Macaca mulatta: one gene and its partners. The protein of the gene in region 1 interacts with the protein of each later gene in a biochemical or structural test. Links are inferred from orthologs where the notes say so. Each region holds a gene or a part of one and is shown on either strand. Other genes may lie near its edges. The genes, in order: PEX5, DDO, PEX7, AGXT and PEX13.

What was found.
Region 2: the proteins of PEX5 (region 1) and DDO form a complex in vitro, tested with the Homo sapiens proteins (2 studies listed by BioGRID, with this or other methods). The link is inferred for Macaca mulatta from reciprocal best matches to the Homo sapiens genes PEX5 and DDO.
Region 3: the proteins of PEX5 (region 1) and PEX7 form a complex in vitro, tested with the Homo sapiens proteins (3 studies listed by BioGRID). The link is inferred for Macaca mulatta from reciprocal best matches to the Homo sapiens genes PEX5 and PEX7.
Region 4: the proteins of PEX5 (region 1) and AGXT are reported together in a solved structure, tested with the Homo sapiens proteins (2 studies listed by BioGRID and IntAct, with this or other methods). The link is inferred for Macaca mulatta from reciprocal best matches to the Homo sapiens genes PEX5 and AGXT.
Region 5: the proteins of PEX5 (region 1) and PEX13 form a complex in vitro, tested with the Homo sapiens proteins (3 studies listed by BioGRID). The link is inferred for Macaca mulatta from reciprocal best matches to the Homo sapiens genes PEX5 and PEX13.

What each region holds. Positions count from the first base shown.
Region 1 is NC_133416.1:8,214,054-8,219,985, forward strand, and holds part of PEX5 (peroxisomal biogenesis factor 5), read left to right. Parts: intron 1-2,545; coding exon 2,546-2,648; intron 2,649-3,572; coding exon 3,573-3,663; intron 3,664-4,057; coding exon 4,058-4,168; intron 4,169-4,428; coding exon 4,429-4,521; intron 4,522-5,281; coding exon 5,282-5,401; intron 5,402-5,932.
Region 2 is NC_133409.1:15,435,496-15,440,777, forward strand, and holds the end of DDO (D-aspartate oxidase), read right to left. Parts: intron 3,547-5,282; coding exon 2,979-3,546; 3' UTR 2,002-2,978; downstream 1-2,001. UniProt on the Homo sapiens protein: Selectively catalyzes the oxidative deamination of acidic amino acids. Suppresses the level of D-aspartate in the brain, an amino acid that can act as an agonist for glutamate receptors. Protects the organism from the toxicity of D-amino acids.
Region 3 is NC_133409.1:41,957,436-41,963,367, reverse strand, and holds part of PEX7 (peroxisomal biogenesis factor 7), read right to left. Parts: intron 4,833-5,932; coding exon 4,755-4,832; intron 4,377-4,754; coding exon 4,268-4,376; intron 1-4,267. UniProt on the Homo sapiens protein: Receptor required for the peroxisomal import of proteins containing a C-terminal PTS2-type peroxisomal targeting signal. Specifically binds to cargo proteins containing a PTS2 peroxisomal targeting signal in the cytosol.
Region 4 is NC_133417.1:146,146,156-146,152,087, reverse strand, and holds part of AGXT (alanine--glyoxylate aminotransferase), read right to left. Parts: intron 5,299-5,932; coding exon 5,234-5,298; intron 4,586-5,233; coding exon 4,485-4,585; intron 3,255-4,484; coding exon 3,184-3,254; intron 2,265-3,183; coding exon 2,180-2,264; intron 1,123-2,179; coding exon 1,027-1,122; intron 292-1,026; coding exon 222-291; exon of another isoform or gene 1-221. UniProt on the Homo sapiens protein: Peroxisomal aminotransferase that catalyzes the transamination of glyoxylate to glycine and contributes to the glyoxylate detoxification.
Region 5 is NC_133418.1:63,753,751-63,760,277, forward strand, and holds the start of PEX13 (peroxisomal biogenesis factor 13), read right to left. Parts: upstream 4,194-6,527; 5' UTR 4,111-4,193; coding exon 4,019-4,110; exon of another isoform or gene 3,609-4,018; intron 1-3,608. UniProt on the Homo sapiens protein: Component of the PEX13-PEX14 docking complex, a translocon channel that specifically mediates the import of peroxisomal cargo proteins bound to PEX5 receptor.

The DNA of each region.
Region 1 (5,932 bases):
CGTCTGAAGATGCACAGTGAATAAATGATGGAGTTAGGATTTAAATGTGGGTAGGCTGACCCTAGAACCTGTATTCTTCTCCACAGTGCTGCTATTTAGCAGACACAGAAACTTTCATGAGTAAGAGTAGTAGCAAGTTCTGAGTTTTTGAATTTTGAGCTTGGGAAAGATGTGCCTAGAAGGAATGAGTAAACAATGAGAAATTATATGAGGCGCACATTTTGAGTGGGATATTTGGTATCTAGGTTGTTCTCACTCTGCTAATCTATGACCTCAGGCAGGGGCATCCCCTCTTTAGACCTTAGTTGCCTTGATCTCAGATGTATCCACGTGGATCTGATTTTCTGTAGAAATTTCTCAAAGGTTGTGAAGGCAATGTGTTACTCTTCTGATTCTTTTGGTTATTTGACTCTTTCGTTGGAGTAGGTTCCCAATGCCAAGAAATTCTGGGTCTTGTGGCTAATATGGCCAAATACCAAAATTTGAGGATGGCTTTTCTCAGCTCTGGGATTTTTTTCCCTAAACTGCCTCATATCTATTGTTAAGTCCTCATGTCTGTTGTAAAAATTCAAAGGTGCTTTGTATTTTTTCTGTTTTTTTTTTTTTTTTGTCCTTGAGAGGACCATTTCATAGCAATTTGAAATATTTTCTGTGAATTTGAGGAGCACTTAGGACCAGAATATGCTTTTGTAAAATACTGTAGTTGAGAGTTAGGAGCGATTGGAGAGTTGAGGAGGGAGTAGTTATTTTTCAACAGAATGGAACTAAGAATTTCAACTAAGAATGGAACTAAGGAACTAGGAGATCTTAAAGTCTCTTTGAGTATTAAGCATCTCCTTTCTGTCTCCACACTTGAGGCAACAGTCTCATTGGGGCAAATGGAAGAGAAATGCTTCCTGTAAGAGCTAGTGAGCAGAATCTGCATTGAATTTTTGAGAGTCCTTGAAATTAAGAGACCGGATCTATGGTCAAAAAACGATTGCCAACCATATTTCTTATTACATTATACATTATATATTATAAGGTATATGTATAATGTATAATGATGTATGTGTATAATGTCTTATATACATTATAATATATAATGTAATAAGTAGTAATTATTTTTTATAATTAGGGGTATTCTGAGAATCTTGATCCTTTGTTTTTCACATTTGACATTTCATGCTCAGATTTTGAGACTACTTTGTTGACATTATTCAGGCAAAGTCTCAGTTAAAATGGAGTAAAAGTTTTTATACTTTAATACCAAAGGGGTAAGTTGACTTTCTCACTGTTAAAAGCAAGGGCAGTCAGATCTTGAAACTAGGGACAGACTGCTAGTATCAGCTAATACTTTCACAGCCCTGCCCAAATGTCCCTCTTTAATGCAAATTGGAGTTAGTAGGTTCTCAACAAGAGAATGGAGTTCCCCCTTGGGAACTGTCCTTGTCATGGGCCAGGAGGGGGGAATAGCTGGGGAAAATGGTGGCAGACTAACGAGTAAGATTAGTTCTGGACACAGGGCAGAAGGAAAGAACACTGCAGGCTTGTAGCTTCTCTTTGTTTCCTTGTTCTTTAGGGCCCGCAGTCAGTCTCCTTGTTGTTTTTCTGGCTTCAGGATATTAAGGGCAAAGTCCTGGAGGTTGAAAAACAGTTCAGCACCCTCATTGAGTTTGTTGCCTTGATAGGTTTATTCTGATGTTGCAGCAGTCCCCTTCGTCACTAGAGCTTCTGAGACAGTTTCTAGATTTAGACTGAAAAAACATAGCTACTCAAAGATAATCAAAAGTGAGAAAAGTCAGAATAGTGTTTACTTCTGTGGGCTGGGAGACTGAGGTAGCCTGTGAGGGAACTGTAAACATTCTGTGTCTTGATCCGGGTGGTGGTTATGTGAGTGTATTCATATGTGGACGTTAGTTTAGCTGTACACTTACGTTTGGTAGACATTGTATGGTTTCATATTTGTATGTTATATTTCAATTAAAAAATGAAAAAACCCACCAGACATCCATAGGGAAGAGCAGATCCATGTATCTTTCATTCTAGCCTAGCATTCCACTTCTCTGGTTCTCTTGGTAGGCAAATTACAATGAAATAAGGCTCCTTTGGCCGGGATTATGTGAACTCGGGGTAGAGGGAGAACAAACCAGAGGGTTGGTTAAGGAACAGGAGCCCTTCTGTGCTCCCTTCACTCCTTACTGGCTCTCTGCTGTACTTTTGAGGAAAGTGAAGGCCCTTCTGCTTCCTATTTCTTACTGAAATATCTTGTACTTCAAGCAAAAGAGTTTGGTTCTTAATCCTTTCCTGAGCTTCCTTATTTGATCTCCCGTTCCCAACTCTCGGTAAATTTCTGCCCCAGGCTCCTTGAGAATGGGTTGGATATTGAGTTTGTTGAAAATTTAGTAGTATATTCTTTTGACCAGGGGTTTCTGAGGGAGTCAACAGAGCTTTGTCTGCTTTGGTGTGGCTAAGAGGGTCAGTTGAATGTGGACATCTCTTTCCCTTTCCCTGAGCCCACACTGAATGAACCCGTGTGATTTCCCCACCTCTCTGCTCCTTGCAGACCCCTTGTCTGTGTCCCCCGCCCGCTGGGCTGAGGAATATTTGGAGCAATCAGAGGAGAAGCTGTGGCTGGGAGAACCTGAGGGAACAGCCACCGATCGCTGGTGAGTTCAGCTGCCCCTTTCCAAATCCTGTGAAAGGAGTATGGAGAGTTTTCCAGCCTCCTCTAACCTCCTCCATCCACGTTCTCAAACCAACTTACTTTATTACTTAAGATTTCCCGTTGGATTATTACTCCTGTGAATTTATGGTTCAAATGTAGTCAAGGACTGGGTGGTTGTGTGCCTGTACTCGGGAAACTGAGGTAGGAGGATTACTTGGGCCCAGGAGGTCAAGTCTGGCCCGAGCAACATAGTAAGACTTTGTCTTTAAAAAAAAAAAAGCACATGCATGTGCACACACAGAGCCACACACACATACACATATGTATACATGCATACATATATACATGTATATGTACATGTGTATATACACATACATGTATACACATACACGTATACATATATACACATGTAGATACATACACATGTATATATGCCTGCACATACACATACACATGCATACACATACATGTATATACATACATGCACATATGTATACACACATGTATATATACATATATACATATCAGCTGTATTTGGGAGGAAGGGAGTTTTCAGGTCATTTTAAAATATATGTATATATGTAAATATATATATTTTTCAAGAATCCTAACTATCCTATATGAAGTTCATAACTACATCTTAAAGCTCATAATTTTACCTTGTTCCCTTCTTAATTTTGAGCCTGCTACTATCACATCTATATGCAAAGATATGTTTGGGAAAGGGAGAGGTAAAAGGATGTAGCTAGTACTTTCACACTCCTGCCCAAATGTCCTTCTATAATGCAAATTGGAGTTTGTAGGTTCTCAACAGAAGAATGGAGTTCCCCCATAGGAACTGTCATTGTCATGGGCTAGGAGTGGGGAGTCGCATGGGGAAGGTGATGGCAGACTAATGTGTAAAATTAGTTCTTACCCGTTCCAGGTACGATGAATATCATTCTGAGGAGGATCTGCAGCACACGGCCAGTGACTTTGTGGCCAAAGTGGATGACCCCAAATTGGCTAATTCTGAGGTGAGCCACATCCCTCTGCTGCTTTGCCCAGCAGAGCTGGTTTTGGAAGGCAAGAATCTCGCTTCCCTTACCCCAGTTTAAAGAGAAGGAGAAGAGATCCTGGGTCTCTTCCTTCCTGTCTGTAGAACAGAGACTTAAGATCCTGCCTCTTCCTGCTAGTGTTCATTCCCTCAACTCCTTGCCTCCTAACTCTTGTTTCTGATGCCTTTTCACGTCTTTAGAGCCAGAAATCCCTTTCTTTTTGCTCTCTACTTCTTTTAGCGTCTTTAGCATATCTTGTCTGCAGCTAGAGATGGTCAGGGGAGGGGTGAGTACAGGCTCCTCTTGGGCATGATTGAGAGTGCACACCTGGAAGTCCTTTCCCAAGTGGCCTGTGTGTGTCTCTGTGCCCCAGTTCCTGAAATTCGTGCGGCAGATTGGCGAAGGGCAGGTGTCCCTGGAGTCCGGTGCAGGGTCGGGCCGAGCTCAGGCAGAACAGTGGGCAGCAGAGTTTATACAGCAGCAGGTAGGACATTGTCACTTTCCAGTCCCACTTCAGAGCCAGCTGATGGCCCAGGCCATGGGTTCAGTGGTCAGTGGTCCCCGATGGGGAAGGATGAGGCCAGCTTGTCTTGATAGCACCCAGGTCCCAAGTGGGTGGGAAAGAGATTCTGAGAATGGTTTTCTCAGAAGTACCCAGGTTGGTGGTGTTTAGTGGGTATTTAGTGTGTGTCTGAAGGGTGGAAAGTTGGTGGTGGTGGTACTGACCATCCTTTTTTGTCACAGGGCACATCAGATGCCTGGGTTGACCAGTTCACAAGACCAGTAAACACATCTGCCCTTGATATGGAGTTTGAACGAGCCAAGTCAGCTATAGAGGTGAGAGCAGATAGTGCAGGAGGAGGCAACCCGAAAGAAAACACTCCTTGGAGTGAGTGGGTGTCTTGGAGTGAGTGGGTGCCTTGGAGTGAGTGGGTGCCTTGGAGTGAGTGGGTGCCTTGGAGTGAGTGGGTGTATGAACATCAAAGATGGTGCAAACTGTCCTGGATCATCTGTGTCAGAGTTGCTTGGGGATGGGGTGGGTGCTGTTCAAAAATGCAGATTTCTGGGCCACACATGGTGGCTCATGCCTATAATCTCAGCACTTTGGGAGCCCGAGGTGGGTGGATGACCTGAGGTTAGGAGTTTGAGACCAGCCTCAACAACATGGAGAAACCCCATGTCTCTACTAAAAATACAAAATTTGCGTGGTGTGGTGGCGCATGCCTGTAATCCCAGCTACTTGGGAGGCTGAGGCAGGATAATCGCTTGAACCTGGGAGTTGGAGGTTGCAACGAGATGAGATCATGCCGTTGCACTCTAGCCTGGGCAACAAGAGCAAAACTCTGTCTCAAACAAAAAAGTAAACAAAACAAAACAAAACTAAACTACAGATTTCTGGCCATCACCCCAGACTACTAAATAAGTATCTGGGGATAGGATCCGGCCATCTGCATTTTTAAAAAGTTATTCACATGATTCTTAACCATGTTGAAATTCAAGAACTGCTGCCTTAGGGAATCAGTCCCAGCAGAGCTGAGAGTGGGGTGGGGTGGTCATGATGGATCTCCTTTTTCTATCCGCCTTCCCTTCCTTACAGTCTGATGTCGATTTCTGGGACAAGTTGCAGGCAGAGTTGGAGGAGATGGCAAAACGGGATGCTGAGGCTCACCCCTGGCTTTCTGACTATGATGACCTCACGTCAGCTACCTATGATAAGGTAAGGTAAAAACTCTTAGTTTTTCAGGTTCCAGAACTTCCTTCTTTTTAATATGTTTCCTTTAATCCTGAATTTGAAGGGTGCTTTTAAGTATTTTCTTGAGTCCCTTTCCATGAAAAGAAGTCTGAATCATTCCCTTGCCCTTCCTCTTCAGTGATTGAGTATATACTTTATTCTTGGGATATAGATGTTACTGAGACTACCTTTGTCAATAACGACAATCCAGTACACAACACCTGTGAAGGAGGTTTGCACTTGCTTGCCGCATTAAGAGCACAGAGGAAGTAGCTGTGCTTGGAGGTCAGATTGGGAGCTTTTTGAGAAGACTGCTGACTCCTTTGGTGGGGAGTGTTAGTGGGCAGACTATCCCTTTGCCTCCACATCTTACTATCTGTTTACTTTTTAAACTCACACGTTCATTTTAAGTTCTTATCTTTTATAGGTACTAGCCACTTGCCCTAATTTAGGGTTTTCAAATAATTTATATTAAATAACTTAAATATTAGGGAAATTTCCTACTAGTATGAAAGA
Region 2 (5,282 bases), on another chromosome or scaffold:
TTGTTTATCTTTCTGGATTATTTCTAGAGATAGCAATCTGGCTTCCTGCAAGTCTGATATACTCACATAGGAGGCTGGCTTCCTGTGTTGTTTATTGTAGATAAGGGAATTGGTTTCCTGGGCAGGTTGCTGCAGCTCGTGGGCCAGAGTTCTATTTTTATATGTGGTCTAGCCATTGTCCATTTGTACACTCAGTCTCTTGTCTTTCAGATAAAGACAGATAGCTGTCTTGGAGCAGCTGACCGATAGCCAGCAAGGTGGTTCCAGTATTTCTAAAGAGCTACTTTGGGAGACAGCTAATTCTTCTAGGCCAGCTTGCCCAGAAGTGCCTAAGGACACACTTGCCTGAGTGAGCACATCCCTCTGAGCTCCATGCACCAAGTTAGTGAGGAAGGAAGGGAAGGATAATGGTGATGCTAGCAGCGGGGGCCTAGAAGGAGAGGAGGGAAAGAGTGCTCAGTGGTTCTCAGCCCTGGCTCTCAGAACTTCGTGGACAGCTTTAAGTAAACACTGATGCAGCAGCTCCGCCTCACCCACCAAAGGTTCTAATTTCATAAAGCAGTGCTGGGCGTCGACATTGTTTAAAAACTTCCCAGGTGATTCTAAGGTGCAGCCCAGGTTGGCAGCTACTGACCGAAATGAATAATATTTCAGAGACACTGCGAACAAATACTTAGCAATTAGTGAAAATGAAATCAGGGCATGCAGCCACAACCACTTTCTCAAGAAGCCTCCAATCTTGCACTCTTGCAGCGTTGCACTTTAGAAATATAAAATGCAGAGTGAAGCTGAACTAGAGTAGCAAATACACAAAGGTCATAGAAGTTGAGCCACCACACGCAATGAAAATGCCACAGGATCTAAACCACAGGCACAGTGAACAAAGGAGTACACTTAAAGCTGCCTCAAAATGACAGAAATTCTACCTATTCTGAACCGTGGCCTTCATTTTTATTTTTAACTATTAAAAAATTATTTCCTTCTTTAAAAAATGCAATTTTATCATAACCTTTTATTTTTCACAGATTATGTATGATACATATGTGTGTTTCCAGTCTGTCTAAACTTATACATTTCTCAAATACTTAGAATTCAGAAGAGTTGCACTTGGGGTGTATAAACTCCAAAATCTCAAAAGAAGCACACACACTATATATATACCTGGTATCCATCTTTTATTTCTAGTCATTTCTAAATTTTTGAATGTACCAATGTATCTGAATCTGATACAACACCACCCCCTGGTGGAAGTCTATAGAAAAGAGCCCACATTTGATTTTCCTTGAGAATGTTAATACTGCAAGGAATGATTCTGATTGCATAAAACACTGGTGGGCTCTTCTCTCGCTGTCTACCAGCAGAATGTTCTCTGCAAACAAAATTATATGCAAGTTCTGAATGAACACAACAGCAAAGCTGTAGCTGTGCTGAGAGCTTCTTTCCCACACTTTCTTCATTGGCAACCCTATATCTCACTCAGGATGTCCAAAATAGAATTTACTGTATCATTTAACAGAAGTCATCTTCCCCAAAAATTAAAATTAAAGCCATTTCTCCTCAAGCCTTTTTTTTTTTTTTTTTTTTTTTTTTTGAGACGGAGTCTTCCTCTGTCACCCAGGCTGGAGTGTAATGGTGTGTCTCAGTTCACTGAAACCTCCATCTCCCGGGCTCAAGCGATTCTCCTACCTCAGCCTCCTGAGTAGCTGGGATTACAGGCACCCGCCATCATGCACAGCTAATTTTTGTATTTTTGTAGAGATGAGCTTTCACCATGCTGGCCAAGGTGGTCTTGAACTCCTGAACTCAGGTGATCCACCCACCTCGGCCTCCCAAAGTACTGGGATTGGAGGTGTGAGCCACCGTGCCCAGCCTCCTCAAGCCTCTTTACCTCAATACCAGCACGTCCTTTTCCATCCACCCAAGCTCTCTAGAGGATTCACATTACACATGCACACATTAAAGGCTCTGAGTAGGCCTGAGTCAAAAAACAGGTTCAATTCATTTAGCTCCACAATTCCAACTCATTTTATTGTGAGACACATTCCCCTCCTCCCCAAAACTTCTTAACAAACTGCAGAATACTCTGATTATATTTCATTCAGAATGATTGTTTCACCTTAATTAGCAAATTAGTTCTTTGGCTGCACATGCTGTTCATCTTCAAAAATGCTTAACCCAACCATACTGCAAACCAGCTCTCAATCATTTACAGTAATGGAATGTACAACCCCTAGGTGTTTGACCCCAGGCAGCTAGTGAATTGATATGACATCCACAGGCAGCTTCATCTCTGTCTCCTACCATCATTACCAGCTGAGGGGAGGAAAAGGTTGCCGCCAGTACTAGGAGCAAGCATGCTTTGTCTTCAATTAAACATAATAATCCTGCATTGTGTGAGCACCATGTAATTTTATTTAGAGGAATTATGTTGCTGACTTGGCTATAACCTACGAAGATCACGGGCAGCTCTACAATTGACAGTGATTTAAGCGTTTTCCATACATTATCTCTTCGTGTGGATTTATAAGCCAAATGATATCAAAATCTCTGTAGCTTCCAACATTCATATAAATCTGCATAGGTCCTTGGACATCAGTTCTAAAGAAATTTTACTCTATAAGAAGTATTTTCAACAAAAAATAGAGCTTTATGCCCTATGTCATTAATGGTAGACTTCCTAAGGAAGCCTACATGTTGCATCATTTCTTTTGTTGTTGTTGGGTTTTTTAGAGGTGGGGTCTGGTTATATTATCCAGATTGCACTTAAACTCCTGGGCTTAAGTGATCCTCATGCCTCAGCCTCTCAAGTAGCTGGGACTATAGGCATGCCACTGTGCTCAGCTTACATGTTATACCACTTCTAATGTTGAAAACAAAGAAATGTCTAATTAAACTTACATGCAGTGGAAAAGTCATTTGAACCTATTCTGTGCTTTGATCAACAGTCTCTCAGTCTATTTGCTGTCATTTTATGTCATCTACAGCTTTGACTTGGGAATGGGGGTCCTGAGGGCATGGACACACTCGCTCACCAGCCTGGCAGCCTCCAGAGCAGTGCCCCAGTGCACCGAGATGCCCCCACTCCCATGGCCATAGTGGTGGACTACAGGCAGCCTCCGGCCATCTCGGGCAAGGAGCTCTGTCTGCAGTCGCACACCTGGCCTGTAGGGCCTCAAGCCCACCTTCTCCCTGATGTTGCAGGCTCCGTGGAGGGAGGGCTCCAGAGCACAGCATCGGGAAAGAATTTCTCTGCTATTTTCTGCATCTGGGGACAGATTCCAGTCCCCTTTTTGCCTAGTTCCACCTAGGGTTACATGGGATGTACCAGGATAAATATACGTCAGCCCACTGCCATCTCGGATAAAATGCTCCACCCAGGGAGCCTGAACTTGGAGCACTTGGCCCCTTACAGGGAAAATCTTTGCGTCTCCTGCAAGCTGTCTGCTTCCAAGGCCTGAACAGTTGACCACGATGTCGAAGGACGGATAAAGTTCCCACAGGTCGTCTATTCGCCGAGTGAGCATCCAGCCTCCACTTCCTTTTATCCTATGGAAGAGAGGTCATGAAGTGAACCTTTGTCAGCATCCTGATCAACTACTTCTAGGAAGTAAAGAAAAGGAACCCAGGAACAAAAATTAGGCAATCATCTGATGAACAAACACCCCAGGAGCTTCCAGGGCCCAATCAGGCCAAATTCGAGCCATCAACTGCTTCACATCCTAGGAACTGGGGATTTCTAAAGTTGAATCTAAATGGAAACCACTTGAAAGTTCAAAACAAAGGTAATTACATGCTTTGCCCTTTTAAAATTTTGTAGAATTCCTATATTGTTATAGATGCTGAATAAATGCCAAGTTGATTTGGTATTTTAAATGTCCAAGCATTTCTTATTTCTACTACTTATTTAACACCTAAATTTGATACATTTTATCTCATATTGTTAACTCTTGCATGCTCCTTTGTATTAGTCTGGTCTCCCTAACTAAAAGATACAGGGGTCATATCCCCACCAGCTTTATGTCTACAAGTGTGTTAGCACGAGAAGAACACAAAATATTTGTAGCTAATGAGCTAAATGGCAGCTGTGATTGGTAATTGTTATGTTTTTTGGACCAACTATATCAATCATGAAAAGAAATGGCTTATCCAGTACCTGTAGTCTTTATTTAAATTGAGGTAAAATACACCTAACAGCAAGAAAGAAAGAAAGAAAGAAAGAAAGAAAGAAAGAAAGAAAGAAAGAAAGAAAGAAAGAAAGGAAGGAAGAAAGAAAAGAAAGAGAAAGAAGGAAGGAAAGAAAGAAAGAAAGAAAGAAAGAAAGAAAGAAAGAAAGAAAGAAAGAAAGAAAGAAAGAAAGAAAGAAAGAAAGAAAGGAAGGAAGAAAAAAAATGCCTCACGTTGATGAGTGCGGAAGAGATCAACATTGCTACTCAGTGGCATCTTAGACCCTGACCCCAATAGCTCAGCTTCATATTCCATCAAGTACCAGCCACAGGCTGTCGTCTCAGCATCTTTGCAGTTCTCTGCATTTGACTGAAGGCCAAGCTGCTGGGCAGAGCTCCATCTGCTCAGTCTCTTCACACTCCCTCCCTCTGCAGAGACCTCTGAAGTATCTCCACTGAGCAGTTTCAAGAACAGTTTGAACCCTCTGGATTAGACTCATTGATTATTCAACAAATATTTGTTGAGGGCTTGTACTCTGTCCAGCACCCTCAGGAGGCAAGAAGAACTCAGAGGTTCCGCTTGCTCTGAGATCACATGAACCTACAACGCACTTCCTATTAAATGCAAGCTGCATTGCCAGCATCAGTGCTTCAAACGACAGAACCTAAATTCGGTTGCTTTTTATTCTAAAAATCCAAGGAAGGGAGTATGTTGTTTACCTGAGACGAGCAAACCAAAGAAAAGAATCGGGCAAGCATCTACACTTTGGGGCCACAGAGAACCAATAAAGCCAATGAATTACTTTTTGGTGTAACTAAAAGTAGTTAAAAGAGAGAGAATGAAGCTGGAGCTACTGTTGTGTTTGTTTGTTTGTTTTATAAGTAAAACTGTTCATAGATAAAAAGTATTTAATGTAGCAAATTTATGGGGACAGGGTTTTTTTTGGCTCTCTCGGTAAGAACAACCAATTTAGAAACTTAAATTATGTTCTTAAACATACAGTAATAGATAAATGTTTTTAAAGGTAAAATAACTCTGTAAAGGTTGTTTTTCACCTTAACATTGGCATAGAAAGAAGAGTAAATTGGAGTTTTGTAGTAATACTGAGCAACACGTTT
Region 3 (5,932 bases), on another chromosome or scaffold:
AACCGGTACCAGCTACTGCAAAAACATGCCAAATTGTAAAGACCATCGATGCTAGGAAGAAACTGCATCAATTAACAAGCAAAATAACCAGCTAACATCATAATCACAGGATCAAATTCACACATAACAATATTAACCTTAAATGTAAATAGGCTAAATGCTCCAATTAAAAGACACAGACTGGTAAACTGGATAAAGATTCAAGACCCATCAGTGTACTATATTCAGGAGACTCATCTCACATGCAGAGACACACATAGGCTCAAAATAAAGGGACAGAAGATCTATCAAACAAACGGAAAACGAAAAAAAGCAGGGGTTGCAATCCTAGTCTCTGATAAAACAGACTTTATACCAACAAAGATCAGAAGAGACAAAGAAGGCCATTACATAATAGTAAAGGGACCAAGAAGAGCTAACTATCCTAAATATATATGCACCCAATATATGAGAACCCAGATTCATGAAACAAGTCCTTAGACACCTACAAAGAGACTTAGACTCCCATACCATAATAATGGGAGACTTTAACACCCCACTGTCAACATTAGACAGATCAACGAGACAGAAAGTTAACAAGGGTATCCAGGAATTGAACTCAGCTCTGCATCAAGCGGACCTAACAGACATCTACAGAACTCTCCACCCCAAATCAACAGAATATATATCCTTCTCAGCACCACATCACACTTATTCCAAAATTGACCACATAATTGGAAGTAAAGCACTCCTCAGCAAATGTAAAAAAACAGAAATTATAACAAACTGTCTCCCGGACCATAGTGCAATGAAACTAGACTCAGGATTAAGAAACTCACTCAAAACCACTCAACCTCATGGAAACTGAACAACCTGCTCCTGAATGACTACTGGGTACATAACGAAATGAAGGCAGAAATAAAGATGTTCTTTGAAACCAATGAGAACAAAGATACAACATACCAGAATCTCTGGGACACATTTAAAGCAGTGTGTAGAGGGAAATTTACAGCACTAAATGCCCACAAGAGAAAGCAGGAAAGATCTAAAACTGACCCCCCAACATGAAAAGAACTAGAGAAGCAAGAGCAAACACATTCAAAAGCTAGCAGAAGGCAAGAAATCATTAAGATCAGAGCAGAACTGAAGGAGATAGAGACACAAAAAACCCTTCAAAAAATCAGTGAATCCAGGAGCTGGTTTTTTGAAAAGATCAACAAAATTGATAGACTGCTAACAAGACTAATAAAGAAGAAAAGAGAGAAGAATCAAATAGACGCAATAAAAATGATAAAGGGGATATCACCACCAATCCCACAGAAATACAAACTACCATCAGAGAATACTATAAACACCTCTATGCAAATAAACTAGAAAATCCAGAAGAAACAGATAAATTCCTAGACACATACACCCTCACAAGACTAAACCAGGAAGAAGCTGAATCCCTGAATAGACGAATACCAGGCTCTGAAATTGAGGCAATAATAGCCTACCAACCAAAAAAAGTCCAGGACCAGTCGAATTCTACCAGAGGTACAAAGTGGAGCTGGTACCATTCCTTCTGAAACTATTCCAATCAATAGAAAAAGAGGGAATCCTCCCTAACTCATTTTATGAGGCCAGCATCATCCTGATACCAAAGCCTGGCAGAGACACAACAAAAAAAGAGAATTTTAGACCAATATCCCTGATGAACATCGATGCAAAAATCCTCAGTAAAATACCGGCAAACCAAATCCAGCAGCAAATCAAAAAGCTTATCCACCATCAAGTGGGCTTCATCGCCAGGATGCAAGGCTGGTTCAACATACGCAAATCAATAAATGTAATCCAGCACAAAAACAGAACCAAAGACAAAAACCACATGATTATCTCAATAGATGCAGAAAAGGCCTTTGACAAAATTCAACAGCCCTTCATGCTGAAAAACTCTCAATAAATTTGGTATTGATGGGATGTATCTCAAAATAATGAGAGCTATTTATGACAAACCCACAGCCAATATCATACTGAATGGGCAAAACCTGGAAGCATTCCCTTTGAAAACTAGCACAAGACAGGGATGCCCTCTCTCACCCCTCCTATTCAACACAGTGTTGGAAGTTCTGGCTAGGGCAATCAGGCAGGAGAAAGAAATAAAGGGTATTCAATTAGGAAAAGAGGAAGTCAAATTGTCCCTGTTTGCAGGTGACATGATTGTATATTTAGAAAACCCCATCGTCTCAGCCCAAAATCTCCTTAAGCTGATAAACAACTTCAGCAAAGTCTCAGGATACAAAATCAATGTTCAAAAATCACAAGCATTCCTATACACCAATAACAGACAAACAGAGAGCCAAATCATGAATGAACTCCCATTCACAATAGCTTCAAAGAGAATAAAATACCTAGGAATCCAACTTACAAGGGATGTGAAGGACCTCTTCAAGGAGAACTACAAACCACTGCTCAGTGAAATAAAAGAGGACACAAACAAATGGAAGAACATTCTATGCTCATGGATAGGAAGAATCAATATTGTGAAAATGGCCATACTGCCCAAGGTAATTTATAGATTTGATGCCATCCCCATCAAGCTACCAATGACTCTCTTCACAGAATTGGAAAAAACTACTTTAAAGTTCATATGGAACCAAAAAAGAGCCCACATTGCCAAGACAATCCTAAGCCAAAAGAGCAAAGCTGGAGGCATCATGCTACCTGACTTCAAACTATACTACAAGGGTACAGTAACCAAAACAGCATGGTACTGGTACCAAAACAGAGGTATAGACCAATAGAACAGAACAGGGCCCTCAGAAATAATACCACACACCTACAACCATCTGATCTTTGACAAACCTGACAAAAACAAGAAATAGGGAAAGGATTCCCTATTTAATAAATGGTGCTGGGAAAATTGGCTAGCCATATGTAGAAAGCTGAAACTGGATCCCTTCCTTACATCTTATACAAAAATTAATTCAAGATGGATTAAAGACTTAAATGTTAGACTTAAAACCATCAAAACCCTAGAAGAAAACCTATGCAATACCATTCAGCTCATAGGCATGGGCAAGGACTTCATGACTAAAACACCAAAAGCAATGGCAACAAAAGCCAAAATTGACAAATGGGATCTAATTAAACTAAAGAGCTTCTGCACAGCAAAAGAAACTACCATCACAGTGAACAGGCAACCTACAGATTGGGAGAAAATTTTTGCAGTCTACCCATCTGACAATGAGCTAATATCCAGAATCTACAAAGAACTTAAATTTACAAGAAAAAAATCAAACAACCGCATCAAAAAGTGGGCGAAGGATAAGAACAGACACTTCTCAAAAGAAGACATTTACGCAGCCAACAGACACATGAAAAAATGCTCATCATCACTGGCTATCAGAGAAATGCAAATCGAAACCACAATGAGATACCATCTCACACCAGTTAGAATGGTGATCATTAACAAGTCAGGAAACAACAGGTGCTAGAGAGGATGTGGAGAAATAGGAACACTTTTACACTGTTGGTGGGATTGTAAACTAGTTCAACCATTGTGGAAGACAGTGTGGCAATTCCTCAAGGATCTAGAACCAGAAATACCATTTGACCCAGCAATCCCATTACTAGGTACATACCCAAAGGATTATAAATCATGCTGCTATAAAGACACATGCACATGTATGTTTATTGTGGCACTATTCACAATAGCAAAGACTTGGAACCAACCCAAATGTCCATCAATGATAGACTGGATTAAGAAAATGTGGCACATATACACCATAGAATACTATGCAGCCATAAAAAAACATGAGTTCATGTCCTTTGTAGGGACATGGACAAAGCTGGAAACCATCATTCTGAGCAAACTATTGCAAGGACAGAAAACCAAACACCACATGTTCTCACTCATAGGTGGGAATTGAACAATGAGAACCCTTGGACACAGGATGGGGAACATCACACACCAGGGCCTGTCATGGGGTGGGGAAAGGGGGGAGGGATAGCATTAGGAGATATACCTAATATAAATGACCAGTTAATGGGTGCAGCAACCAACATGGCACATGTATACATATGTAACAAACCTGCATGTTGTGCACATGTACCCTAGAACTTAAAGTATAATAATAAAAATAAAAAATAAAAATTAAAAAAAACAAGTAAAGTCTTAAGAGCACAAAAGAGTAGTAATAGGCTCCTGTTTTCTCTTTGAATCTAAGGTACACAGCGCCACCTAATGGTAAAAACAAGGCCACCATTCACTACAAATAAGGCTTTTGGTAAATACAGAATTACTTACCTGAGGCTGAAGCAAAACAACCAGGGATGTGGGGAGACCAGATTGTGCTATAAATAATACTTTCATGGCCTCTAAAGGTGCACAGAGACTTTCCAACAGTTGGATCCCACTAAAAATAAATGAATAGATCAATTGCTCAAGAGGGATAAATTCAAATTTATGCTTTTACATATACTATACATACCAATAAACTATATACATTTATATATACACATACAATATATATACAGATCTCAAGGATTTTTAAAGATCTATTTTGATATAAAGCAGGATGGTATTTAAGTGCCAAACTAATGCTGAGCTATTAGTTCACAGCCAAAAGATTAGAAAATTTTAAGTTCTAATAAATGTTTTAATTTTTTTTTTTTAAGAAAACTCAGCTATCCAATCATAAAGCTACAGAAGTATGTTTGGAAAAGAAAAGAAAATTTAGCAGAAGCTCTAGAGAGGGGAATATTTGTTTTCGAATACAATAATGCTATCATACCAATTTGACAGTTCGATCCCATGAGCCAGACACCACAAGCTGTTCACCTCTGGTTTGGCTCCAATCAACACTATACACCTAAAAACAATCAAAAGCATTTAGAAAGCAAAAGACCATCAAGTTCAACGTTGCATTTTATCTCTTGTTATATAACAGTGAGAGGCAGAACAACTAATTTACTATGTCAAAACATCAAATAATTCCTATCCATCTCAACAAGGTGTCCGAGAAATGAGAAGTTGATCTTGTCCATTCCTCCAGACTTATTCCTTACAGATAAGACTCCATTCTGCTTTCATAGAATTCTACAGTATACTTCCAAACCTTCTTCACTGAAACAAATTATACATATTTTAAAACCTACCAACAAATCACTGTTTGCAGCCCCACGAAGAAATGTCAAAGCAGATTAGAAAGTTAGTCATCTAAAAAAGCTTGCTGGGTCAATGTTTATTGGAAAGCATTAAAATTCAATTAATATCCCTATCTGGCCTTTCCTAGAAAAAGCTTGCAGGAACCAGGTGATCCTTCCAGATCTCTTGGTAAACAGTTTTAGTTATCCAATGCTGCTATTCTAATGTATGCTTCACTGCTCTCAGTGAACCATTTCAAATGAACCATTTGAAAACTTTTGGAAATGTTTTCATTCCTTCATTTTATACAACAGATTATACACAGATCACTCCTGTAAACTAAGTTCAACAAAATATGTGCATAATTATACTTTATGAAATTAGTCCTGACAAGGACCTGCGTATATGCCATTGGTATATCACATTGGTGATCAGCCAGCAGGTTACTTTGAATCTTATTACTCTCTCCCACATATATGTAGGAAGTATGAGTATCTGGGCTTAAGCCACTTAAATGTGGGTTACTTTCTCTCTGCTGCCCAGTACTATGTTGAGCCATGTTGGAGGCTGAGGAAAAAAAACATCAGTAATACTGATCCCGTCACTTATATATGGAATCTAAAAAAGTCAAACTTAAGAGAAACATACAGTAGAATAGTGTTTGCCAGGGGCTGGGGGTGGGGGAAATGGAGATATGTTGGTCAAAGGATACAAACTTTTAGTTATAAGATGAATAATTTCTAGAGATTCAATGTACATTATGGTAACTATTATAAATAATAATGTATTACTGAATACTTGAAATTTGCTAAGAGAGTAGATCTG
Region 4 (5,932 bases), on another chromosome or scaffold:
CTTGCCCCATTGCTGCATCTGTCCCTGGGGCTGCGTCCTCCCGGCCCTGCCCACAGCCAGTGTGCCCGGGGCCTGTCCTCTCTCCCCCACCCCCACTGAGGGCCTCTCTCTGGCAGGCTCCCTTCTCTCTGTGCACCAGGAATGGTTCCTTCTCTGCAGGCCGTGCCCTCGACAATCCAGCCAGTGGCCCTGTCTCCTCCTGTGGAGTGCAGCCCACGCACCTGTTCCGCAATGAGGGCCAGGCTCTCTCTCAGGCTGTACAGGCTGATGACGGGGATCGTGTGATGGTACCTGGAAGATACGAGGGGGCTTGGTCCAGCACCACGGGCAGGTTTGGGGGCAGATGGGGCATTAGCTCTGTCTGCCCCAGCCCCAACAGCACAGGCTGTCTGAGCACAGGCCGGTATCCGCCACAGGAGTCTTGTCTGGGTTCAGAACTTTGGACCGGGAAGGCAGCTTTGTCTGCCGGGGAGAGCATGGCTCCATGTGGGGCCCGGCCAGGATGCGGTGGGTGGTACAGGAGCAGAGACACACACCACCACCACCCTGCTGAGCCCCTCAGCCCCAGCGTGCCCACGAAGCCAGCACTGGCCCTCTGTGCCCACTGGGCTAGGGCAGCATTCCTGGAGCCTTGTCCCTGTGTGTAACATAAGGGGCCTTGGGTTTATGGCCAAGATTATCTTTTGAAAGGGGATAAACTGAGGCCCAGGAGTGGGGAGATATGGCAGGGCCAGGTCCAAAGTGCCCGAGGATGTGCTGGGACCTCTGAGCGGGGGGACAGAGTTTGTGGAAGAGGCAGTGGGGGCCATGCCCCTGCCCAGAGCCTCGGGCCAGTCGAGGGATGGGGAAACCCAGGGTGGGGCATGCCGACCGCCCGATGCAGGTGAGTTCTGGGACTCTGATTGGGGTTCTTGTGGCATGAAGGTGGGGGGCTCGGAGAATCCCTGAGTGCAGTGAAAGGTCAGCGTCCCCCCAGCCAGCCATTCCCAGCACCCCCCACACCTTCCCGTCCCTGCCGGGCCTCACATCCTGGGCTGGCCGTCACAACCCCAGAAGTTGGCCAGCCACTTGATGTCCAGGTAGAAGGAGAAGGGCTTCGTCTTGCGGGAGTACATCTTCTTTCTGGGGAGGAAAAGCAGCCTGAGCACCGGCCCCTCAGTTTGGGCTGAAGGCAGGAGCAGTCTTGCTGGCTGTCCTGTTTCACAGGAGTGAGACGGGGTGGGGCCCCCAGGAGGGCCTGCCCCAGCTGCATTTATACTCAGGGGCCAATGTGGGACCGGGCAGGTCCTGGGTCCCTCAGCTGTCCAGTACCGCTGGCCCTTGGGCCCAGCCTGCACCTCTGCCCATGTGGGTGTGACCCTGCCATGGGGGCACTGAGGCCAGCTCCCTCCATTCTGTGTGCCCCTTTCTCTCCCCCAGCCCTTCCTACAGGGTCAGCCTTCATTTCTCACATCATCCAAAGGTGACTGCTTTCGGGCCCCAGGGCACACTGGCCAGGCTTAAAACTTTAAATGTGTCCGTCTCTACAACTCCAAGTTGGTGGGCCAGCCCCGGTCTTTCCCCAGGCTCCTGACTCACACCCAGCCGCCTCCTTCACCCTCCCCTGTGATCCAACGGGCATCTCAGACCTCCCACGTCCAACACCGAATTCCTGACTTCACCCCAAAGTCCTCTCTGTTCTGGGGAATGGCACCTCCAGTTGCCAGGCTGCAGCTGGATGTGAACCGCCTGTGAGGCCTGGCCCTCTTCCCCCACCCCTGCCTGGCCTGGCTCGGAATCTGGACACCAGGAGCGGGAGGTGAGATTGGGACTGCAGGGGGCACCATGTGTGGTCCACGTTGTGCCTTGGGGCAGCCCCTGGAAGCCAAGCCAGGGTGGGTCGGGGTGCTGGGCCCCAGGCCCTCAGTTCTTTCCTGGCCACTCCTTGGTGTGAAGCTGGGAACTTCCAGAGCAGCGGACTCTGCACCCTGCACATGCCCACGGCCCTCCCCTTGCCTGGCCTCCCCACTCCCCGTGAACGCAGTGCCTTTGGCCTCCCGGAGGGTGGGCAGGAGAGCGCCAGGTGCTGGAGGAGCCTGGGGAGCCCTTCCAGCCTGGCTCCCGCCCCTCCTGCCTCGGGCCACCTGAGCTCCCTGCGAGCCCAGCCCTGCACAGAGGTGAGGGTCTGTGGGTCACTCACTTGGCCTTGTCACTGAAGGAGATGAACGAGGTCCCTGGGGGGGCGTTCAGGACCTTCTGGGAGCCCGAGTACAGGATGTCGATGCCTGTAGATGGGTGGTTTGTTTGGGACGGGGGAGCCCCACCACAGGGCAGGCCGGTCCAGCGGGGTGCCTGCCTAGCTAATGGGCTGGTGGGCTACGACCCCACAAGAATCCGGACACGATGGGAGGGGAGACATGGAAGGGAATCCTGGGTTCGAATCTCAGCACTGTTGTGTGGCAGCCATGACCTCAGGCCTGAGCCTTTTAGCGCAGCTTCTCCCTCCGCTGTGCGAATGGTCCCCAGGGACAGCCCTGCCGTCCCTGGCCTCGTGTCCCCGGGTCCCTCCCCAGGTCCCTGCTTTCAGTAGTAGTTTGAGGATCAGCCCAAAAATCCCTCCCTTCCTGCCTGAGATCTCCCAAATCAGGAGGGGCTCTGCAGAAACAGAGAGGCTCCCATGGAGTGGGTGGGCAGGCACCGCAGTGGGCGCAGGGTGCAGGCTCTCCCTCGTAAACGTGCTGATGGGCACAGGAGGCGCCTTGGTCCCCTCGGCCGGCCTGGGTGAGCTTCCCTGCGAGGTGACCCTGTGCAGTGGTGCTCACTGCTGTGGGCAGCCTGGCGGGGTGCAGGGCGGATGTGAAACTGAGCCTCTGGGGGTTCGGCAGAGGGGTCCCCTACACCTGATCGACTGGAGCCCTGGCCACTGCTTCTACTACAGCTCTGGGGCCTCTCAAATGTCCCCCACCAGCTGTCCCTCCCGCCAGTCCCCATGCCTGGATCTGAAAGCTCAGTGGAAACACTGGGGTGCCGGGTAGTTCATGGAGCCGCTCTTGCCCCAGTAAGGAGTGAGTGTTTCCCTGGGCCGGGTGGAGATGAGGCCGAATCCGCAGTGTTGGCTGCCGGATGCGCACTTCCAGCAGGGCTTCCTGCACCCGGAGCCCCTGGCTGCTTGGGCTGGGTAGGACCCTCAGAGCACACCCTTACCTTGCTGGTCCATGTAGAGAGGGGTCCCACCCAGGGATACCACCGAATCCACCAGGAGCAGGCACTTGTACCTAGAGAGATGGGGGATGGAACGGAGGGCCGCAGGTGAGGCAGGGGGCCGCTGGAGGGCTTGGGCCCCAGTCTGGATGGGGTTTCTGAGCCTCAGGCTGGCAAGGAAGGGGGGGTGCCTCCCACCTGTGCCCCAGGAGTTGGCCAGTTGCCTTCTCCTGCCTGTCAGGATCCGTCAGGACCTGTGGCTCTTTCTTTTGCAGCCCTGATCATTGGAGCAGAAGGAGCTGGGGGAGTGAGGGAGCATCATGGCCCTGGTGGGACCCAGCTGCAGGGCCCTGCAGTGGTGCCGAAGAGGGTCAGCCGGGCAGTCTGTGGTTCCCCAGGGACAGCAGGCACATGAGGGCCTGTGTGGACCCCAGGGACCACGGTGGCACCAAGCTGGGCCTCCCTCTGCCAACAGCTGCTCGGCCCAGCCACTGGCCAGAGTCCAGGGCCGGAGGGGACAGAGTCCCAGAACAGCACAAACAGCAGCACCGCGAACTCTCACCCTCCGAACTCTCACCCTCCAAACTCTCGCCCTCTGAACTCTCACCCTCGTCCACCTCCATATTTTCTTGTAAAGAAAAGAAAGATACAGAAAGTATCTCGTGCTGGCTGCAGGTGGGGACGGCCTGGGTGTTGCTGAAGCCGGCCAGGTTATGTTTGTGAGCTTTATTCATGGCCACGGTCCATGTAGCAAGCTGTCCGGGCTGGGGGCCCTGCTGAAGGATCCTCCCTGGCCGTGGAGTTTCTCTCCTCTGTCCTGTGCTCAGACCTGCCGACGGGACTGCTAGGTCCCAAGGGGCTCTGTCCCCATTTCTCAGGAATCCCGTCTGACTCCATTCAAGGCCCTGCCCTGTGCACCCCCATGCGGGGGTAAGGGAGGCTGGAGGAGGGAAGCGGAGGGCATCAGGGAGCTTTAGTGCCCTTGCAATCTCGGGGCGAGGTGGGGACAGGCCCTGGCAAGATATGGAGGTCTGTGCCAAGCCCTCTTCAGTCATGGGGACAGAGGTCAGTGGGCACCGTGGGGGTGCTTGGCCAGGGAGCACCTGAGCCTGCCCCGGGGCCTGGGATTGTCTTTAGACTCAGCCCAGAGCAAAGAGGACCTGAGAGGTGCTTGCACCCCACACCATGTGACAGAGGCCAAGGTGGGGACCAGGGGCAGAAGCGCCAGAGGGACCAGTAACCACCCCTCCCCACAGCCTGGCTCTGAGCTGTGCTCTGGCCCACCGCCCTGGGGCCAGGTTCACCTGTGGCAGAGTTCCCCAAAACCGTCAAGGGGCTGCAGCACGCCGGTGGACGACTCCCCGTGGGTCAAGAACAGCAGCACCGGCTTGTGCTGGGCCAGGCCCTGGGGAGGCAGGGATGGCTGCAGGCGAAGCTCAGAGTGGCAGGGGCCAGGAACCCCCCAACAAACCCCCCATGGGTGGCCCAGCTCCAGGCAGCAGGGGCTGGGTGCGCCTCAACCCCTCCCTGACGGTGTGCATGCGAGGCGGAGGCGGGGGCATCTCCGATTTGGGAGGAGGGCTTTTCCGAGAACAGGACTTTTGCGCAGAGGTGGAGGAAGGGTGGCCCCAGCCTGCTGCCTGGCCTGTGAGGGCTGTTGCTAGATGGACGGAGTCCCCCACACTCCAGGTAGGTTGAGGCTGACTTCAGCCCACAGGGTGGAGTATCCTGAGTGTCAGGGACATGCTCTGCAGCCCTGACCACAACCCTGTCTCCTGCCTCCAGCCCCTCTGACCCTGCCCACAGGACCAAGCTCCTGACTCAGTTTCCCTGCCAGACAGAAGCCTCCCTACCAGTCTTCCCATCATTCCCAGGTAATGGAGCCCTCCCCTGTGGCCACTCAGGAGATGCTAGGATGGGCTGAGGGCCAGCCATGGGCCCCAGCCTCCCGGCTCTGATCCCACCCCACTGGCTGGTCACTGCCAGGCAGCGCATGAGCCAGCATGCCCCCCAACCTCCTTGCAGACCTGACCCCCACCCTGGGTCCCCCTACCTCCTCCACCTCCTGCAGTGTGTAGTGGCCTCCAGGGTCCTTGGTCATTGGGTGCACTCGGGCTCCTGGGTGCAGGACAGAGTGGGCCGTGAGTGTCCCGCACACACTGTAGAAGCCAGCGTTGGGCACCCGTGGCCCTGCTGAGCAGGGGGGCCCTGTGAGGGCTGGACCCCACCCTGGCTGCCTGAAGAGGAGGGTGTTCTCTGCCCAGTGAGAGCCTCTCTGTGTGTAGAGCCAGGGCCATCTTGACCCCCCGACTGTTGGAGCCAAGGCTCCTGGGGTGCCCTTGACAGAGCTCAGCTCAAACACCCTTTCTCAGGCCACACTGGCCAGTGTCTCCCCAAGCAGAGTGAGCTCCTGGGGGTCGGGGCCGCACCTGGCCCAGGGCTGGCACAAGGAGTGCACCTGGCCCAGGGCTGGCACACCACTGGTGTGGTGGATGACAGAGCGAAGGATGAGGGGTGAGCGAGGCAGCAGTCTGGCCCTCTGTTGGAGCTGGGACTCCAGGAATCAGGCCCTCGTCCCCTCCTTCTCTCTGCCTCTATCCTGCGTGCTGCTCGTGGCCAGGGTTGTGGGAGGGGAAGAACTTGCAGCCGAGGGTACAGAATGGGGACAGGGGAGGCCATATACCGCAGGCATCTGAGCCTGAGTGCCCTGATGACCACTTGGGGTCCTGGCCTCTGCTGACCCTGGGTCCCC
Region 5 (6,527 bases), on another chromosome or scaffold:
TTCAGCTATCTGCCCACAGAGGTGGAGTCTATAGAGGCAGTAGGCCTTGCGGAACTGCAGTGGGCTCCTCCCAGTTCGAGCTTTCCTGCTGCTCTGTTTACCTACTCAACCCTCAGTAATGGCAGACGCCCCTCCCCCTGCCAGGCTGCTGCCTCACAGATTGATCTCAGACTGCTGTGCTAGCACTGAGTAAGGCTCCGTGAGCATGGGACCCACCGAGCCAGGCATGGGAGAGAATCTCCTGGTCTGCTGGTTGCTAAGAATGTGGGAAAAGCCCAGTATTTGGGCGAAAGTGTCCCGTTTTTCCAGGTACAGTCTGTCATGGTGTCCTTTGCTTAGGAAAGGGAAATCCCCTGACCCCTTGCGCTTCCTGAGTGAGGTGACGTCCTGCCTTGCTTCGGCTCACCCTCCATGGAGTGCGCCCAGTGTCCAACCAGTTCCAATGAGATAAATCAGGTACCTCAGATGGAAATGCAGAAATCACCTGTCCTCTGCATCAATCACGCTGGGAACTGCAGACCAGAGCTGTTCCTATTCCCACATTTTCATATTAAAGCAAAAATACACACAATGGTCTCAACAGATGCAGAAAAGCCATTCATAAAATTTAATATTTCTTAATGATAAAAATCTGAGCAAGGTAAGGGCCAGGCATAGTGGCTCACACCTATAATCCCAGCGCTTTGGGAGGCCTAGGCAGGCAGATCACCTGAGTTCAGGAGTTCGAGACCAGCATGGCCAACATAGTGAAACCCCATCTCTATTAAAAATACAAAAATTAGCTGGGCAGAGTGGCATGCACCTGTAGTCTCAACTGTCTGGGAGACTGAGGCAGGAGAATTGCTTGAACCCAGGAGGTAGAGGTTGCCATGAGCCAAGATTGCACCTCTGCACTCCAGCCTGGGAGACACAGTGAGACTCCATCTCAAACAAAAATAATAAAAATAAAATTTAAAAACTCTGAACAAGGTAGAGAGAGAGAATTTTGACAAGATATCTATCAAAAACAAAAAGCTAACTTCACATTTAACAGTAAAACTTCAGAAGCACTCCAATGGAAGTCAGGACCAATATAAGGATGCTAGCTTATCTGTAAATTACATAACTGGCTATACAGAACTAAAGAGAATTTCAACCAAACCATCAGAACTAATTAAGAGTTTGAGATTATGCTGCATATAATATTTACATTAAAAAAATAGCATTCTGCCATACCAGTTAATAACCAACTGGAAAATGTAAAAAGAAAAAAGAAAGCCCATTTGCAACTACTACAGCAAAAATAATCTATGAATAAAAAATATGGGAAAAAATTTCATGGAGATAGTTTAAGTTTTTTTTTTTTTGAGGCAGAGTCCCGCTCTGTCACCCAGGCTGGAGTGCAGTGGCGCGATCTCGGCTCACTGCAAGCTCCGCCTCCCAGGTTGCCGCCATTCTCCTGCCTTAGCCTCCTGAGTAGCTGGGACTACAGGTGCCCGCCACCGCGCCCGGCTAATTTTTTGTATTTTTAGTAGAGACGGGGTTTCACCGTGGTCTCGATCTCCTGCCCTTGTGATCCGCCCGCCTTGGCCTCCCAAAGTGCTGGGATTACAGGCATGAGCCACCGCGCCCGGCCAAGTTTTTTTTTTTTTTGAGATGGGAGTCTTCCTCTGTTGCCCAGGCTGCTGTGCAGTGGCATGATCTCAGCTCACTGCAAGCTCTGCTTTGTGGGTTCACGTCATTCTCCTGCCTCAGCCTCCTGAGTAGCTGGGACTACAGGTGCCCGCCACCACACCCGACTAATTTTTTTTTTGTATTTTTAGTAGAGACGGGGTTTCACCGTGTTAGCCAGGATGGTCTCGATCTCCTGACCTCGTGATCTGCTAGCCTCAGCCTCCCAAAGTGGATAATTATAAGATATTTAAGGCAAAAAGATTATCAAAATTCTCACCAATTGTAGCTTATACAACATTCATGGAATAAAAACTTACTTGATCCATAAATTCAGCTCAGTTCCAATAAAAATCCCAGTAAGTCTTTTTATAAAGGACTAAGTGTAACAAGGGCAATTACAAAGAACAGCAATGTGTGGAAACTCTTGACATACTACATATCAAAACTTATAAAATTCTGTATTAAGATAGTGTGGTGCTAGTAGAAAGTCAGAAAGTGCCCAAAACAGAACTACATATTTAGGAAAACTTGGTATGATATAGATGGCATTATAAACTGAGAATAGACTACTCAATAAATGGTGCTGAGACAATTAGTTACCTATATGGAAAAAAAATTAGATTCCCTACTTCACATCGATTTTTATACAAAGTTAGTTCCATGTGGATTAAATATATAAATGGGAAAACCAGAAGATTTAAAAGAAAACATACAGAAGAACCGTCCTGATCTAGGTAGACAGGATTTCTTGACCAAGACAAAAAGCACAAACAATAAAATACGACAGTTTTGGCAATATTAAAATCAAAAACATCTGTACAAAAAATTGAACATGAAGAGAAGCCACACAGAGAAAGATATTAGCAAAATGTAGTAACAAAAAAGGATTAGTATTAACAATACTCTTACAAATTGATAAGCAAAGATAAAGCCAATAGAAAATTGGGCAACAGAAAAAACAAAAACAGATATAAAAAATAATAAACATTAACATGTAACTATATATAACATATATATTACTGTTACATTGTTAAGTTTTAGATATAAAATGCATATAAATAGCACAAACCTAAGTACTAAAGTTAAAAAACATTACTGGGTATGCGAAACACCAAATAAGGACAATAGTCACTACTACAAAGAAGAATGGGAGACTTTAACTTTTATTTTTAAAAATGCGACATAAATTTGGCAAATGTTAACATTTTTTAAAGTTGGGTAGTGAATAAACAGGTATTCTTACTCTCTGCTAGTCTCTGTGTTTAAAATATTTCATGATAAAGTGAGCAAATGGTTAATTTTACATAAAAAGAACTTTAACAGATGCAAAAAATAAAACCTCTTCTCATTCGACAAGCAGTCTAAATGGGGAAAAAAGAACCGAATCATAAAAAAGGTAGCAGATAATGTCACCGTGGCTTACCAGCCTAATTAAAGCTTATTACTTGTGATGTATATATCCTTATTAAACTAAGTAGTTACCGTGTTAAAGCATTTTAGTGTTTAAATAAAAGATTTCAGAACACAGCAGAAATACATTCCAATATGTTGGGGTTTTTACGCTTACGAAAATCTACAATAGTAGTTGATTTGACATTTGAATCACACCTATCTGAATTAAGATGTCCAGTACTACCAAACAAAAGCCACACGAGGCCATGAAACACTCCCAACTCTGCATGTTTTAGCCTTTTCAAAGTCCTAGAAACCAACTGATACTGATTAAAAACCAAACAAAAAACTATAGCCCTCAGAAAAATACATCATTTTGCACACAAAGGCCATCCATAGGCCTCAGATCTAGAACTCCTGCTTTAATGTTGCTTCTCCAATCTCAAACTGAAACACTGGCTGAGTTACGCTGGAAAAGAAGGCAAAGCGTTCGGGGCCTGAGTTCTAGTTGCGTAAAACCTTTCGGGCTTTCGGCAACTTCTCGAGAGGTTAACACCTTTAACGAGACTTTGTTCCCTACCGATGCCGTGGCTGGACAAATGCCTCTGTCAACTGCTACAGACCCAAAGTCTATGCTCTAAAGATAGTGAAGCCGTTCTGTCAAAGTGAAAACAGAATGGGTAGGTAGGAAGCCGCCCCGCTTTCTTTCAAGCACAGAGACCCAGAGAGACGCCCAGGAGCTCCCGAAAAAAACGTTGGTGCTTAAGAGTTGCCGGGGGTCAGAAACAGCTGTGAGACACTGAAAAATCCCCACTGGTAAGCGCCCCAACTCCACCTCGACTCCTACCCGCAAGGTTGGGGACTGGTTAAAAGGGGGGGAGGGAATACCTCCCCCAACAACCGCTTCAACCGCCTTCGGCCAAGTCCCCGCTCGGGCCCACCAACCTCCCAGCCTGAAGAATCCCACACTCACTGGAAAGTGGGGCCGGGTCCTGGTCCCGGTCCGGCTCCCGGAATTCGGCGGGTCTCCCAGGGTTTCGGGGGAGGTGGCGGCTGGGACGCCATCTCCTCCGCCTCCGCTCGGCTCCCGCTCCTAGCCCGGACTGTCCAGGCCAGCGTAGACCAGCACCTCGAGCGCAAGGCACAACGGGAAGAACACCGAGCCGTCCACCCCTCCCACCCTGGCAGTCAGAACAAGGCTTGAGTTACTTCGCCAGCTGAATCCATACAGCGAGAGGATGCTACTAATTTGTAGGAAGAAACACGTTCTTTGTATGTGCCCCAGAAAAAGCTCCTGTTCTAAATCTCAGGGTAAAGGCTCATCGATATTTCTGGCAACGGCTACGACTCCCTAGACGTCAGAGTCCGACAGAGGCTTTTCTGGGAGTGGACCAGTAAGGCTGGGAGTAAAGCCCCACGCACTCCTACAGTCGCGGGGGCAGTGGGGTGAGGTGGCAAAGTAGGCGATTTGACGGATTTCCCTACAAACAAGAAGGGAGAAGCTCACTTAGTCCTAGCGAGAACGGGCTGGTACTTTCGTTTAAAGCTCACGTTTCCTCGGGGAACAGAATTGCTAGACGCAATAGGTGCGTTGTCTTTAGTCTTCCCCGTTCCCTTCGAGGGCCGGAAGGGGTTAAATCTCAGGCTCCGGCGTCTGGGGAGAAGGTGAGGCGGGTACGTATGAGGTGAAGGAGTGCAGACTGGGTGCAGAAGAGGTGTGGCGAGAGAGAGAGGTCATTTCTCTCCTGCTGGAGCGGCTTTGTTAGCAAAGGAGGGGTGAGTGGGAAGTTTGTTGCACCTGACCGAAGGGGGAAGGGCTTGCTTGGCCAAAACTGAGGCTTGAGGTTAGATCTCGGGATGAACTTTTCAAGAGTCCACAGTAGATTCCATAGCTGAATGTTTCAGAAGCCCAGTGAAGTGTGATCACCTTTTTCCCCGTAAATCCACACCCCCAGCCCCACGCCGCGGTACGAATGACACCCTTCGGTAGGGAAAGGAGTTTAAAAGATCTTAGGATATGAGACTCAGGCAGTTTTTTCTCACACCCTGCTCGTTTCCTCGTTTTCGATGACTAGTTTTTGTAATCGTCCAGGAGGTGAAAATAAAGTCCTTCCTCTCCTCCAGTAAGCCAGAGACTGGGCTAGTTATCCTTGGTCTGGGGAGGAGGGATTCAGTCCTCCTAGGGAGCCTGACACGTGAAAGGCGGCTGTGTAGCAACTTGTTAGCGTTGTTTCTATAAAACAAACACGTAAACGAAAAGCAAACATCTTGAGGGTAACCAACACTGGAAAACTTACATTATGGGATGCCTTTTTCAGGGCTTGCTTTCAAGCATAATCTAATATGGACAACCGATTTCTGATGTCTTATGAAATCCTGACATTTTATTACCTCACGATGAAACAATCAAATTTAAGGCGTAACGTGTTTTCTCCTTTTAATGTTGATGGATTGTTGGTAGGTGAAATTGAGAAGTTGATAGATTGTTAGGAGGTGAAAATGATGTTGAGAGGTTTGTAAATTCATAGCTCGTTTATTAACACACATTCAAAAGAGGTCTTTTTGTTTGTTTGGGGTCTATTTTTAGACCTCTTCAAATTACTCAGGACTGGAAGTTTTGTAATTCTCATCAATCAGGTTTGGGAACTTCTCAGAGCCAGGAGTTTGTAATGTGTCGTTTATTCGCTTTGCATGATACCTTTGTTCTTGTGAATTTATTGGAGAAATAAACATGGTCTTATAGCCATGGAAAATAAAATAAATTTTAATATAGCTATTTAAGTCTCTAGGGAAATCATTAAGTGTCCTTTTAAAGTGCTTATTGATTTGTTTATTGGAAGAGGGTGTATTTGTGTTTCTTTTTGAGTTAAATGTTACTTCTGAATTAAGTAAAAGTCTTAAGCTAAACTAATGGAGAAAAAATAACTTAGAATAACCGGTGAAACAGAAACAGTTTCTCTGTGTATGTAGTCAGAGATGCACTGTAAATGCTTATATTCAGCCCCTCACAGCATCCAATCTTTTCTCTGCATCAAACTAGATTAAATGGACTGGGAAAAGGGATACAGATCACTAGTAAATAATAATGACTTGACCTTGACCACACAGATTTTATTTATTTATTTATTTATTTATTTATTTATTTATTTATTTATTTTGAGATGGAGTCTCGGTCTTTCGCCCAGGCTGGAGTACAGTGGTGCGATCTTGGCTCACTGCAACCTCTGCCTCCTGGGTTCAGGCGATTCTCCTGCCTCAGCCTCTGGAGTAGCTGGGACTACAAGCACGTGCCACCATGCCTGGCTAATTTTTTGTATTTTTAGTAGAGATGGCATTTCATCGTGTTAACCAGGATGGTCTTGATCTCCGGACCTTATGATCCGCCTGCCATGGCCTTCCAAAGTGCTGGGCTTACTGCAACCTCCACCTACTGGGTTCAAGCGATTCTCCTGCCTCAACCTCCCGAGTAGCAGGGATTAAAG